Daphnia pulex: one gene and its partner. The protein of the gene in region 1 interacts with the protein of each later gene in a biochemical or structural test. Links are inferred from orthologs where the notes say so. Each region holds a gene or a part of one and is shown in the gene's direction. Other genes may lie near its edges.

Region 1 (7,537 bases):
GGTTCTGATCGCTCTTGATCCTGTTGGGGCAATGTTGACAAATCAACATCAAAAATTGTGTTATTAATTGACATTATTATATGAAATATGTGAGTCAGCGGTTTCATGCAACATTTTTTTGTTTGTATTACTAGTCCACCATGAAGGGTACACAGATAGAGGAAGCTTCCATTTATTTTTATAAACGCTGTGTGGGCAGTGTCATAGACAAAGGAAAGTTTTAGAGCAAATGTTTTAAATGACTTCCTTCACCAACGAAGCATTGATAAAAGTAATACGCCATGGTCTGGGCTTGGAAATTCTAGAAAGTTTAAGTAGGTCTTCCTACACACATGTACGGCCATCCACTTTCACCCAGAATAAAACAAGATCATCGCTGAGCAGTATAGAAAAAGCCACTCACCAACATTGTTAAAAAGAATGGACACAATTAAGAAACATTGGAACAAGAGGAAAAGATGGAGAGAAAAATTTTTGAAGAATAATCAACACTTTACCATAATGTCAATCTATTTTTGGGGTAGTCCAACTCTTCGAATAATTTTAAGAAATAGGGTAGGGTGTGAGCTTTGTTTCTGACGAGCAAAGTAACGAGAACAGTGGGATCATCGCGAAAGGTGGCCTGTGTGCAGCTTGCAAATAAAAAGACGCAAAGTCCCACTGTAATAAACTCCCCGATGGACGTTCTCATTCTCTTAAGGAAGCGAGCTGCCACGTTGACGCCACGAGTAAGAATGAAGTCGGGACTAGGACTCAAATGTTTCTCAAGGGTAGAGTGCACGAAATACGATCTATGTCTGATAAGGAATTTTACATCTGCTGCAACGATTTCCCCCCTCCGTCCACGTTTAGAAAAACTTTTTGACGCACCCCTCGAGACTGTCGACAACAGAAGACGGGAGTCTGGGACGATTTGTTTAGAAACAAAGAGTCCGCGCAATTTCTAATCATTCCGTCGTGTGAGCTTTTCCCCCATTTATACAACACGATATCAAGTGAAAGCAGCGGTTTACACGACTCTTACTCGACCAAGTTTAATTTTTGAAATTTATTAACTCTTGATCGTGAGTTTTCCCGATTTTGAATATATCAGAAATATCCACAAGATGATGTAGGAATGTTATAGAAATCGGAAACGAACTCTAGCGCCGTTTCTGTGCGACTTCTGCTGGCTTATGTGAACACATAGCGTAACACACACATATTAAAAAAGCCGGACGCTGACCGGGGCATCTGTCTCTGAGGAGAATATAAAAGAAAAAGAGAAATCTAAACATTGGAAAAGCTTCTCTAGTTCTCTTTACACGGTTCCAGCGTTTTCTGGAAAATTTGATGCGGGGGGTGGGAAAATCAAATAAGAGATAATTCGATTTTAAAAAAAATGCATTTCTCAAATAGTAGATTCCGATTTATTTAAGCGAAAACAAAAATTTTTGTTTATGACATGCGAGACGGGTGGATGATTCGACATGGTACGTTCTTGATTACAAAAATTTGCGGTTACATTCGTACTGGGCAATTCTGACTGCTCTTGGAAAGCCAGACATTATACAAGATTGACGCAATTCTTCTTTATAAGGTTTTTAAAAAAAAATGGAGAACGAGGCTTGAATACGGACGAAAATATCTTCAATGCTCATTTGCATTTTTGCTTTTAGCGATTGTCGAATAATGAAAACAAAATAGTCCGCGTAGTTTTATAGGATCTTGATAAGAACATCAGCAGCAGAAAAATTTAACTCTTCTGATGTAGTACTCATCGGCGTTTTCTTTTGATATGTAATGTTAACATTTTTGTTTTGGAAATCATTTTTGTAAGGTCATATCGAGATTAAGCCTTGGAAAGAGGAAAAACAACTATTTATAGAGATTGAGTAGCCTGCAGCAAGCAATTGAAAGGGAGTGCGGAAATTGACTGTTTTGTTTGCGTACTATCAAAGCAGCTTGTGATCAAAGTAACCTTGATACGTGCGTATAATAATAATGTTGAATGCCACATCAATTATCACATTCACTACCAGTTGCAGTTTAATTATAAGCTGTAGCCGGTCCTGCAAGTATACTTGGCCAAATGCGTCTCACGTACGCTTTTATCATGAGTAAACGAGGAAATAACGTGAAGTGGAAGAACAGACGGGGATAGCCTGGGAACTGGGATAGTAGCCATAACATATTAATGTAGCATTGACGCAACAGCCATGATGAGCTGCCCACCATCTACTGGTTGCAAGAGTACTTACTAAATGTTGGATAAATATGAGAGACACATTTTAGCCACAGATAAATTCCTCGATCCATCCGGATAGATGATAGATAAGACTCAGATCTCAACGAAATTAATATAAATTCGAAATCTTTAACTACGAGACATAATAAAAAGTCAGCGACAAAATTTTTACTAATTAGTTTTAAATACTTGTGTCGCTTATGTTCTTGATTCACTAGTCAGTGGTCGTTACCACACAAATAGATGAAGAATCAAACAAAGCAATAAATCCAAGCCCGTTTCTATGCGCTCATTGGCGCTCGTTAAAAAATCAAAATTCAAAAAGGTCATGGCAGATGTCGTGGCAAGACGGGGCTTCAGTCCGGTATTCCGATTAACCGGTTAACTTCGACAGCCTACTGGTAGAGTGTGTGTGTGAGCCGATGTTAAGAACAGGAGCACTGAAAAACGGCTAGACCATCAAGAAATAGAAATGGCAGCATCAATGTGGAAGGTAAATAAAGAACTAGTAAATGTTTTTATTTGTTATGAGAAAGAAATATCAAGTCTTTAGATTATGCACTTGCAAGTAGTGTCATGATTCATAACCTCATCAACAAATTCGTCGATCGAAATATATCGCATCAACATTAACCAATTAAAATATGTTTTCTTACTTTTAAGGATAAAGGACAATTGGTATTTGAAGAACAATGGCCTCTTATGAGACCAACAATTTTGAAACTGTTACGTCAAGAGCCTGTTAGTCGAGCTGAATGGCATGAACTGTTTTGGTCTGTACACATGGTGTGTTTGTGGGATGAAAAATCACATGCCAAAATGTACAAGGCATTGCAGGATGATATTCTGGAATTCATCAAGCAAGCACAGACAGTAAGTTACATATTCCTGTTGCAATCGGTGTAAATGATTAAAATAATTGAGATGCATCTATTAATCCTCTTTGTTTATATCAGAGAGTACTAACTCATGAAGAAGACCAGTCACTGTTGAGGGCTTACATCAGTGAATGGCGTAAATTTTTTACCCAGTGCTCATATTTGCCCATGCCTTTCTTCCAGCTTGAAACTGCACTTCAAGGTAAAACACACAACTCAATACAGAAAAAGCCCCAGCAAAACACTGATGACAGTCTAGTCAGAAAGGTAAACAATAAATACATTTTTAATGAATAACTTGTTTTTTGATAAATATTTTGTTTCTGTGTTTTAGCTAATGTTGGATTCCTGGAACTTTAGTATTTTCTCCAACATTAAAAACCGATTACAAGACTCAGCAATGAAATTAGTCCATGCTGAAAGAAATGGAGAAGCCTTTGACTCACAGTTGGTCATTGGAGTGAGAGAGTCCTATGGTAAAACATTTCTATGGCAAGATATTGTTTCAACTGCTTAATATTTACTTACTTCCTGCAGTTAACCTTTGTTCAAATTCTGAAGATAAGTTGACCATTTATATGGATAACTTTGAGAGGGCTTATATAGATTCCACCGAAGCTTTTTACAAGTTGAAAGCTCCTCAATATTTGGAAATCAATGGTGTTCAGAATTACATGAGATACGCAGAATCGAAACTACGCGAAGAGGAGCAGCGAGCCAATAAATATCTAGAATCGTGTTCCATTGCTACTGTACTAATGGCTTTTTATTACTTATTTTAAGATTTGGTTATAATTTTTTTAAATCTTTCTTTCAAGCTTAACGGATGTTGCGTAAATGTCTTGGTGACAGCCTTCAAGGAAACCATTCTAGCTGAATGTTCTTCTATGATTAAGCAAGACGAAACTCAAAGTATGTTTACCACATTTAATATTGAAAATTTACAGTGTCGTAGGTGGAGTTTGAGTAACATTTAAATTTTTAATCACAGAATTGCGTATGATGTTCCGGTTGATGGATCGAGTCTCCGATGGAATTGCACCTATGCTAAAATATTTAGAAGATCACATTATTCACGCAGGATTGGCGGATATGATGGTGGCAGCTGAATTAATTACTCAAGTACATTGATAGACTAGTGTTAATGTCTTCATGACTCATTCATAATTTTTTAATGCTATTGGTAGGATTCTGAAAAATATGTGGAACGACTTTTGACACTGTTCAATCAGTTTAGCCTCTTGGTTAAGGAAGCTTTCGACGATGACCCGCGGTTCCTTACTGCTCGTGATAAAGCTTATAAACATGTTGTGAATGATACTTCAGTCTTTCGATTAGATTTACCCACTCGATTGGTAATTTCCTGTTTCTGTTTACCTTTGCTTTATGCCAAAAAAATTTTTCCGTTGACATTAAACTAACACTTTAAAATTAAAATTGTGTTTTCAGCAAGGACCTGGCTCCAGTGGAGGAGTCAAAACCCAACCTGAATCTCGTTGCCCAGAGCTGCTAGCTAATTTCTGTGACATGCTTCTGCGTAAGACACCTTTAAGCAAAAAACTCACTTCCGATGAAATTGAAAGCAAACTAAAGGATGTGGTAAGATAAAAAAAAGTTGGTGTTGTCACGCTAGCATAGTAATGTTTTCGTTTGATTAAATAATTATTCATATGCTTCATTTGTTGCCATTTAGCTACTTGTTCTGAAATACGTTCAAAACAAAGATGTGTTCATGCGGTTCCACAAAGCGCATTTAACTAGAAGATTGATCTTGGACACCTCAGCTGACAGCGAAAAAGAAGAAAACATGGTTGAATGGTACACTAACTAATTTTTACGTTCATTTTGCATTTTTTACAATTATTTTCATGAAAAAGGTTGAGAGAAGTTGGCATGCCAGCCGACTATGTTCACAAGCTTGCCCGTATGTTCCAAGATATCAAGATCAGCGAAGACTTGAATCAACAATTCAAAGAGGAATATAGGAAGACCAAAGGAAGCATTGCTGGTAATACCTCATAGAAAGGGCGCATAAGTTAACATAAAGATTAATTTTTTTAAACGATTACCAGACTCGATTAACATTAAAATCCTGAATGCTGGAGCTTGGGCTCGTGGATCTGACCGAGTGACAGTGTCGTTGCCGTTGGAGTTAGAAGACTACATACCAGAAGTGGAAGATTTCTACAGGAAAAAGCATAGTGGACGAAAACTTCAGTGGCATCATCATATGTCAAATGGAACTGTGAGTCTTCCTTATAATTTATAAATTATTTAAAATTCTTCACATCCAGATCTTTGGAAGAAATAATCAATCACCGAATATGTGATTATCGTTACTTAATACCGAGTGCAGCCGATTCTAAACCTTGTATTTCATTTTAGATTCAGTTTGCCAATTCAGTTGGAAGATTTGATCTGGATGTTACAACATTTCAAATGGCTGTCCTATTTGCGTGGAACGAACGACCGAAAGAAAAAATTTCTCTTGAAAACTTGCGTTTAGCAACTGAGTTGCCTGATGCGGAACTTCGACGAACTCTTGGGGTATACAAATGTTTTAAAATTGTTTACAAATGTTTAGAATTGGAATAATTATTCACATTTGATTTTATGGAATGACATGGTTTTTCAGTCTTTGGTGGCTTTTCCAAAACTGAAACGACAGTTGTTAATATGCCAACCGGAAGTCCAATCCGCAAGAGATTTCACTGAAAACTCTATTTTTTCTGTCAATCAAGACTTCAGTCTAATGTACGTCTTTTTTTAAATCGTAGTTTATATTAATTAAAAAATTAAATCTATATGTTTCAATCGCAGAAAAAATGGAAAAGTTCAAAAGCGGGGTAAGATTAATTTAATTGGTCGTCTCCAGCTGTCTACCGAGAAAAGTAAAGAAGAAGAAAACGAAGGCATTGTACAGTTGCGCATTTTGCGCACTCAGGTATAAAAGAATTTCAACAAAATTTAGTATCGTTAACCTTATAAATTTGGTCATTTACGTTTTCAGGAGGCTATAGTCAAAATTCTGAAAATGAGGAAACAGATTAGCAATGCCCAGTTGCAAACTGAGCTTGTTGAAATTTTGAAGAATCTTTTCATCCCCTCGAAGAAAATGATAAAAGAACAAGTGGAGTGGCTGATAGAACATCGTTACATGAAACGTTCTGAAAAGGATATTAATACCTTTATTTATCTAGCCTAATAATAACAATATTACTGAAACTGTACAGTTGAATCTAATTAAGTTTCATATGTACATCTTTCTTCTCTTTTGCAATTTCTCTTAACTCCTTACTTATTCCTTGGTCAAGCCAAAATCCTGTCGTGTAAATATTTTCGATAAAAATAAAATTGCGATCGGCGATGTCATGATGCAGTGTAATCGCGTTGACGGAACAATTCAGATCTTCACAATTTTATAGCACTGACAGTTTTAAAGACGCTACGAATGTATTCACGATAAATTCATTATAACCAACAGAAGGGAAAGAGGATGTTAAAGAGAAACAGGTAATGAAGGAATGAGTGACAACTTTCATCTGGTATAACCACAAGTTAGTTAGGTCGGATCTTGCCTGGTACATAGTTCTTATCAATCACTGGCTCTTGGAGAAACATATGGAGGCAGCGTTCATTCTGTGCTAGCGGATGTCCTGCAATTCTGTAAATTATTTGAGTAAGTTTAGGTTGTGATGCTTGAATGTTAATATAGAAACACACTTGTTCACAAATCCTTCAAGAGATTTACGCCTGTCTTCAATGAATTCTTCATCATAGATACCATCATCATTTCTAAATGGGAGCTGGCGTTTGATTGCTTTTCCAGGTAGAGGTGGAACCACAATCTGAAAAAAAAAATTTGAACCGGTATTAAAATCCATAATCTCTTCCTTATGTCAAGATTCATACTTTGCTGTCTCTCTCAAGCTCACTTCTTAACCACTCAAAGTCTGAGTACCTTCGCCTCACACTGGACTCTTTGATCTTAAAAACAGGCAAATTTGTCTGGGAAAAATAATGGTCAACATTGATTACACACAACTTTAACAACATTGCAAAAGAAAAAAGGCACGTCATTCAATTCATGACATTTAGCAAAATGCAAATTGCACTTACCCTCATTCGGACTTCATAATCCGTGTATCGTTTTTTTGCAACACCGTGAGTAATAGGATTTATTACGTCGATTTCCAAAAAATTGGCAGGGGCGGCATATGCGTCGTCCAAAGTTTGCTTTTTGGTATGCAATCGTCTAGTTGCTTCTGTGTTATCCATAATCTACAAAGAAAATCTCTTCATGTTATTTCGTTCTTTTACAATGTGCTGAAAAATAGACGTATCAATAGTAGAACCTACAGATTTCAAACGGTAAGACGAGTTCCGTTCTGCAGAGAAAAAAAACACCTCCCACACTCAGGAACTTATGTTA
Region 2 (7,486 bases), on another chromosome or scaffold:
CTATATATATATCTATAGAGGCCTATACATGTATACATAAATATCTACATGTCTATATAGGCCTGTGTGTGTCGGTCCTGTCGCACGGCCGACTATCAATTTATGATGCGCCCTAAAAAGTCAAGGGAAAACATTTGGAATAAGAAAATCTTTTTTGAAAGAAGAAAAAAAGTGACCCAGATTGGATGTCGATCGTGTTATCGTCGTGTAGGATCGATAGTTCTTGTACTATTTGACACAGGCCAAGGGCTAACGCTTTTCTCTGCTTCCCCCCCAGCATTTTCCGTTGATTATTTGCCGGCCAGGATTTTCTCTCTCCACCAGAAAATGTTTTTCCGTCTGCGTTTCCATTCGACTTGGGTCGATAAAACACATTCGAGAAAAGTCGACTAGTTCGTTTCCTGTGTGTGCTCTACCGGCCGTGCCCGTTCTGTGTGTGTGTGTCTAGAACTCTACTCAACTGCGTGGAGAGAGAGAGAGCTAGACAGGATGTGTGTAGAGGGCCGGATAAAAATGGATATGTAATCAGCTGGATGAGGATACACACATATATAGTTCAAGCTCCCGTTCATATAAGAGGCTATACACACACACATACACAAAACATTAGCGCAGTTATGATTAAAAAACATGTTGAAATGTCCGCTGCTGTGCCGCATGTGTTATGAACAAGCGAATGTGTTTGAACAACATCCCAGGCTCTCGACCGCCCGCTGCTGGGCGGCCGGATATGCCGCAGGCTTTTCACGAGAAAAACTTTCGTTCGTTCTCCTCCTCCGCGTCTGTTTGACGTAATAATGAAATTTCAAATGAGACACACGTAATAAAAAGGGGGGAGAAACGGACGAGTGCCTTTTTTAATGAGCAAACAAAACGACAACAGTTGACACAACTTTGCCTGGATAAAATTCGGATAAGTTTAATAATAATCCGAGCTCTCCATATTTTTTAGTTGAACCAATAGAAGAAACAGGTGGAATATAATCCAAAAGTGGACGCATTGAACCGTGTGGATGACGTCAAAAAAGGCTAACACACGCGATGGTGGGGGTGAGGTGGGGGGGAGGGAGTGAGGTTTACATTTGAAATTGTGAAATAAGAAAAAAGGAATAAAAAAGGATCTAGCCCCATCATAAATACATCGGGCCGATATGAGAAAAGGGTCAGCTGTCGCCACCTGGGGTTCGTACACATCATACAAGCCCCTTCGTCATACACAAATGCCACGGGTATACACACAATTGCATCAATGGTGCGGGGCCTATAAATCCAATGCTCCTCTACGTCCCTCATCACTTCCTCGTCTAGTTATTTTTCCTTATTACCGAATCACGTCATTCTTATTAGATCGAAAGGAATAAACTAAAATATCGACGAGATAGAAGAAGTGATGGTGGCTCTGTATCATCACCCCGGCACGCCCCAAACAGGGAGACTATCAAGTTCATTTCTTATTAAATGCGACGTGTTTTATTGCAGAGGTGGAAGGAAAAAGACGAACGCTAAGTGCTAGTAGAATATATACCTACGTTGTGCTAACTCCGTACACGTATAATACGTACACAGATGCTATGCTATGCTATGGGGGGTTCATGTGGGAAGAAGCCGAGCGTGTGGGTGGGCCCTTTTTCTCGGCGAGAGTGTCAATTATCTATCGTCACTGACAGAGTCGACAATCTACTCATTTATGCATGTCGAAGAAGAAGGAGGAGTGTGTATAGGGGACCCCCAAACAGCAGAGCACAGAGCAGCAGGAGAGTTTAGCGACAGTTTTCTAGCGGCCAAGTGCTAATCGTCGCCCACCGAAAAACGTTTTTGATGGTCTTGTTGTTTTGTCTCATCTGCAATCAACCCAGCCAGCACCACTATACACCCGAAACAGCTGCTGCTCGGCTCCTTGATGGGAAACAAAATGAAATCTACTCCTATATATATTACTCCTTTGGCCTTGTGTACTGTGATGGAAGAAGGGGGGCTAGATCATTACAGCGACACATCAACTTTGTCGTCATTATTTTTTCAAAATTAAAAAAAAAAGAAAAAACAAAAAATGAATTTTCCCCATTTTGGCTGATGGCGTACGTCGCAGCCAGAGTCTTTATTATCAAAATAAGAAGGCTGGCCTGCTACTGTTGTTTTTTCTTGTGTGTGCAATGGGCCTTTTCTTTTTAAAATTGGAAATTTGGGTGGTGTAACTTTTTTTTTTTTCAGTTATAAAAACCGGCGGGCGAGGGAAAACACACATGAACGGTTCGAGCTGTTTATAGGCCAAACCTCGTCTTACGCATTTCCGGTCTGTTGTTACAAGGTTTTCTTTTTGTCTTTCCCCAAAAAATAAAATTGTTGTTGCAATGAAGAATAAGTATAAATATAAAAGATCAATGTCTGTTCAATACATTCGGTTGGACGGGTTGATGAAAGGAAAAGATATGGCCAGCATCAGGGCTGGTGATGTACGTTGGCGAGCAGCAATCTATATCAAGAGAAATACATTGGTTAACATTCAGCTGTTTGTGTTGTTTCATATCTATCTGGTGGAGAAAATAAAAGGGCGAGGGCATGTAACGAGTAGTGGAGGAGCTCCTCCCCTTTTCCGTCATGGCTACTGGTCTTGACACCGGATCATCCATCAGAGAGAAAAAGGGCCAGGCCAGGCCAGCACAGACAGCGCAGCCGAAAAGAAGGCTGGCCATGCATAACAGCAGCAGCAGCAGCACTACAGTTGTTGTATGTATGTGTGTCTAACCGACTGACGGTTTCTTGGCTGTGGCTATATGTGGCTGGCCCAGCCAGTTGACACACACAGGACTGGCATATCCATCTCACTCTCGTCCGTTGCTGCTGTTTCAAATAGAAGAAGGAAAAGTCGCCGTTTGTTGTTGGTTTCCTCCCACTGGCGGAGATCACCACACCCTCGGCTTTGGTGAACGATAGGACGGGCCATTGCAAGCGGGAATAAGTGGGCGCAGTCACGTCTCACAAGTCCAGCCCCTTCTCTTTCTGCTTTGCCCTAGATAGCCCGGCCCATCGACCAATCATTTCCTTCCTCTTCATTTCAATCTGCCCTTTTCTTCTTTTCTCTTCTTCTTTTGCCTTTGATTCTTCTCTTCTCTCTGGGCAGCGACTGGACTGGACCTTTACCACCGCCACTAGACACCACCATCGCCACTACTACTATAGACTGGGAGAAGAGCCGGCCCGAATAGCCATCCCATCCAACACAATAGCCCGGCCCGGCCGCATCGAGTCGATGTGTGTTGTGTGTAGACACCAAATCATGGCGGCGCTAGTTGGGAAAACAGTCGAGCTCTGAGCGTTGCCGACGGCGGATTAGAACTACTACACACACAATTCTTTTCTTTACACACACAAGGCTATACACTACACACACTAGCCAAGAGAGAAGTTGGGAGAACCTCTTGGTGGGTGTAAAGAAAAAGGGAAAAAGAGTTTTGCCTACATACAGACCGCAGTAGTTCTTCAGTCGTTGCTCCGGCCTCCAACCAGAAGGACATCACTGACTCAACCAGTCCAGCAGCAGCAGCTAGTGGCCCAGCGGACATGGTTTCACATTGAACAACAACAACAACTACTACTTGTACCTTTGATTGTTTCAAACACAACTCGCAGTGCGCGTCATCAAGTGTCGATTTCATCCTCCCAAAATTTGATTTGATTTGATTTGAAACTTTTTGGGTTTTGTAAATTCTGGTCGTTCATTTATTGACGCAAGTGCGACACACACGCGCCGTGTCGTGAGTGAATAGAAAAAAAGAAGACGACTGCTGTTGTTGGTGACGTCGGTCGGCTGTGCTGGGACACCTGTGCGCGCGCTCCCGCACCATCACATCGCCATACTCTCCAGTGTCCCTCAGTCTCAGTGCGTGTGTCTGTGTGTGTGTGTGTGTTGTTTTTTTCTTGGTTATTTCTAACCGCAGCATTCACCTTCAATCGGCTCAGCCGTGCGAGCCGAATTGGACCTTTTAGACGCCAACAACATCCACGTACAACATCCCCCACCACTTATCAATATATCTTTGAAGCGGTAAGTGAAACAACATTTATTTAGCTCTCGAAAAATCTTCGATTGATTCAATTATAGAAGAAAAATGAACTCGGTATAGGTGGTGTAGCTCATCAACTGTATAAATTGCGTCATTTGACAGATGTCCAATAAGTTAGATTATGTTGATTCGCAATGCTTTGGTCTTGGCTGACCATTGACCAACAGCCAGAGCTCTCAGCCGGTGTACGTAAATGAGATGGCGATCAGTCATTGCCAATTTCTCGTCATCGGTTATATTGTATACAGCCGAAAATCTAATCCTGTTGTTGGAAAAAGAAAAAGAAGAGTCTTCTAGAAATGCTGTTTGCTGGGGTTTTTTGTCACCGAGAAACTAATCTAAAAGACCGTCGTCGTTTTGATACATCATAACAAAAGAGGAGAGAGCATTTCCTCCTCCTCCTCCTCGCCCGGCTTATATAATGTGTAACATGGAACTCGTGCGCTGATGGGCAAACGGCTCGACAGCCGCTTAATCAACACCACCAATCAACAGAAACAATCTCTCCCTTTTGGTTTTTTGGTTTTTTCGAAAAAAATCAAACAACAACCCAGGATGAAATCCCCCCAACCAAAAAATATTTTGAATAGAAAAAAAACAACAAAAATTCAAACCGGTTTCAATGATAGCTCCTGGCTGGTCACCAGTAGCCACACAATTTATTCAACATATCGAACTGTTTCTTTCTTTTGATTCAATTAATATTTTCTTATATCAAATTCTAAATTCAATTTTTATTTTGAAAATATTTTCAGGCTGGAAACTTTTGGTGTGCCGTCGGTTCATTCGAAAATAGAAGAAAGAAAGTGAATTTGTGATTTTGGGACTTTGGCATCATCATCTGGGCGCGTTCCATTTAAATTCGACAAAAATGTACAAGGGAATGAACCAAACGGCTGCCCAGCATCTCTTGTCCAGCATGCTGCCCTACGACTCCATGGGCGGGATGGGCCTCTACGAGCAGACCAAGCCCAGTCTCATGTACAGAGTGCCGCGCGTCATTCCCGACCAGAAGGGCCGATTCGAATCCGACGAGCTCTTCCGTCGGCTCAGCCGAGAATCCGAGGTAAGATCTTGACGGCCAATCTATATAGGCCGCCGTCGCTGGCCTGCTCAAATATTAACAATCACATTTTTGGGGTTCGGCTTTTGGGCCGTCGGAATTGAATTGGTTGTAGTGGGCCAGAAGAGCGTCTCATTGCGGTTTCTGACTGTTAGCCGCAGTCGACAGTTTTTATTTGGTTGTTTTTGCCAATATCAAATTCGATCTACTGTCTATAGAGATAGTAGTAGAGTCCTAGAGAGCCGGATGGAATACACTCTCTCTATAATCATGTATTTATATTTATACACAAATATGACAAGAGATATCTCGAGCTAATCTAACGTGTATATAGGCTTCTTCACGCTCGACTCTCTATATCGACGCGATCCTCCTGCTCAACGGCCCGTTCACCCGTCAATTCGCTATCTCCTTTTTTATATTATGTTTTATATATTTTTTGTCGAGACACATTCCAGTCGAGAGAGAGAGAGGCGTTATAATAGCCAAGTCTCAAAAGATATGAGAAGGCCAAGTGGCTGTAGTTGGCTTTATACACATCTCCGTATGTAGCTTCTAAGGGAAAAGTCATTATGTTGTATTATATATATTATATTGATCCACGGATGGCTGGGCAACTCTCACCAATGTGTTATTGTCTGCAACGGCCGGTGCTGCTGGGCCAAGAAAAAGAAAAACCAACAACACGGCACAACCTCCCGCTGCTGCTGCTGGCCGAGAAGAAAATGAAAAATAAAAAAAGTTCTTTTTTTTTCTGGGGCTGTGTGTGAGAAAGTTAACTCGGCGGGGATTTTCTTTTAAAAAAATCTATTTGATAGAAATAGTAAAAAAAAAAGGCTGGGGCTATATGATCAGGTATAGAGGAAATGTCTGGCCGGCTACAGGAAGGACGGGCGTCAAGAAAAGAACTTGCCACTCGGTCCAACACCAGTGGCAAAGAAATTTAGAAAGAAGAAGAGAAAAAGGCTGACCTGCCCACATTTCCCCGCTGTGCACAATCGCCCTCCTTTTAAAATAGTTGTCGTCGTCGGCTGGGCTCTTCATTTCGCGTTATCATCTGGGCCAGCGGGACGTCTCTACATCCACAGACGGACACAAGAGAGAAATGTCACCACACACCACCGGGGCCATTCAACACACATAACCGATCACTACGTCTTGTTCGAGTCAAAATGTTGGCCAAAAAATCGTCCTATTGAATATTTCGTCTTCAATTGTTTGCTGCCGGCCCCGAAAAGAGTGTTTCTCCATTTTTATTATTGACATCTCGGTCTCGCCTATTGATAATAGGCTATTTACGGTGGCTGGCTGTGTCCAGCGCGTCGTTGAGAGAGAAGAGACGGACTTATTGGCTGTTAAAAGTGCAGACAGCCAACGAATCCATCTCCTGGTGGACAACAATAAAACACGGTCGAAAATAATAAAATAATGGCCCCCAAAAATATAAAAAGATGAAAAGCAAATATATATAAACGACAGTCTTTTACCCCCCGACGGGTATATATCTTCTAACTTTTTCGCATACAAGGACTGCTGGATACTACGCTGGGGTAATGGCTCAATTGATCTATGGCTGGACTCTCTGACTCCTAACTCATATATATATATATACGACTCTTGGGCGCCTCTTGTAGGTTTTCCGTAGAGGGGATGAATGTTTTTGTTGGTCATTTAAAAACTTAAATCGGCGTTCCACAACTGTTAAAAAAAAACTGAAGAAAAAAGGGAAAACTTTCTCCATATTTGCCGGGCCGTACATATACAGCCACCAAATAACTGTTGTTGTTGTTGTTGTATGGTCATTGGCGTGTGGTTGGTGGTTGGCCGCAACACTGGCGGGGGGAAAAAGATGAAGAAGAAAGACTCGGATGATCAAATGCAGTTGTTATAACGATGCGACGAGAAAATCGAGATGTTTGGCCGTTATATTACTATCAGATGATTATTGCGGTGGGGCTTGTTTGACGTTTACACGTCCCTTTGTTGGGACCCAATGATTTTTCAATCAAACATTTATTTTCTGTTTTTAATTTAATTCGTTTTCATTTGAATTATTACAGGTGAGATACGTTGGATTTCGGGACCGGCCGTTGGAGGAGCGCCAGATGAGATTTGCGGCCGGATGTCGAGAAGGACACGCTGAAATCGTGAGTTTGACTTAACTACTGCAATTTTGAATCTTAAAAAAAACTAAGGCCGTCTAAAAAGTTGTGTGTTGCCTCCGTTGCGTGTGTAAGAGAGACGGCCAAGTGGATAGAGCTAGGGAGAGAGAGGCTCTATTACGTTTTGTGTGTGTGTGACATGAAATTGATGAGACGCTAACGAGCTGTTTGGCCGCCGCCCTGGCTCAAACTCATCG

The links. The genes of interacting proteins can lie anywhere in the genome.
Region 2: the proteins of cullin-5-like (region 1) and protein big brother-like form a complex in vitro, tested with the Homo sapiens proteins (4 studies listed by BioGRID). The link is inferred for Daphnia pulex from reciprocal best matches to the Homo sapiens genes CUL5 and CBFB.

Annotation. Positions count from the first base shown.
Region 1 is NC_060021.1:665,831-673,367, reverse strand, and holds cullin-5-like, read left to right. Parts: upstream 1-2,565; 5' UTR 2,566-2,699; coding exon 2,700-2,720; intron 2,721-2,890; coding exon 2,891-3,100; intron 3,101-3,183; coding exon 3,184-3,372; intron 3,373-3,439; coding exon 3,440-3,581; intron 3,582-3,642; coding exon 3,643-3,857; intron 3,858-3,923; coding exon 3,924-4,017; intron 4,018-4,096; coding exon 4,097-4,227; intron 4,228-4,292; coding exon 4,293-4,460; intron 4,461-4,554; coding exon 4,555-4,704; intron 4,705-4,798; coding exon 4,799-4,923; intron 4,924-4,982; coding exon 4,983-5,113; intron 5,114-5,177; coding exon 5,178-5,350; intron 5,351-5,490; coding exon 5,491-5,652; intron 5,653-5,740; coding exon 5,741-5,859; intron 5,860-5,925; coding exon 5,926-6,049; intron 6,050-6,115; coding exon 6,116-6,310; 3' UTR 6,311-6,477; downstream 6,478-7,537. Other genes in the region: glycosyltransferase 25 family member-like, read right to left, coding at 1-20, 498-691; sorting nexin-12-like, read right to left, coding at 6,664-6,769, 6,829-6,953, 7,018-7,113, 7,225-7,383. UniProt on the Homo sapiens protein: Core component of multiple cullin-5-RING E3 ubiquitin-protein ligase complexes (ECS complexes, also named CRL5 complexes), which mediate the ubiquitination and subsequent proteasomal degradation of target proteins.
Region 2 is NC_060020.1:1,159,014-1,166,499, forward strand, and holds the start of protein big brother-like, read left to right. Parts: upstream 1-3,102; 5' UTR 3,103-4,045; intron 4,046-4,819; 5' UTR 4,820-4,935; coding exon 4,936-5,130; intron 5,131-7,187; coding exon 7,188-7,274; intron 7,275-7,486. UniProt on the Homo sapiens protein: Forms the heterodimeric complex core-binding factor (CBF) with RUNX family proteins (RUNX1, RUNX2, and RUNX3).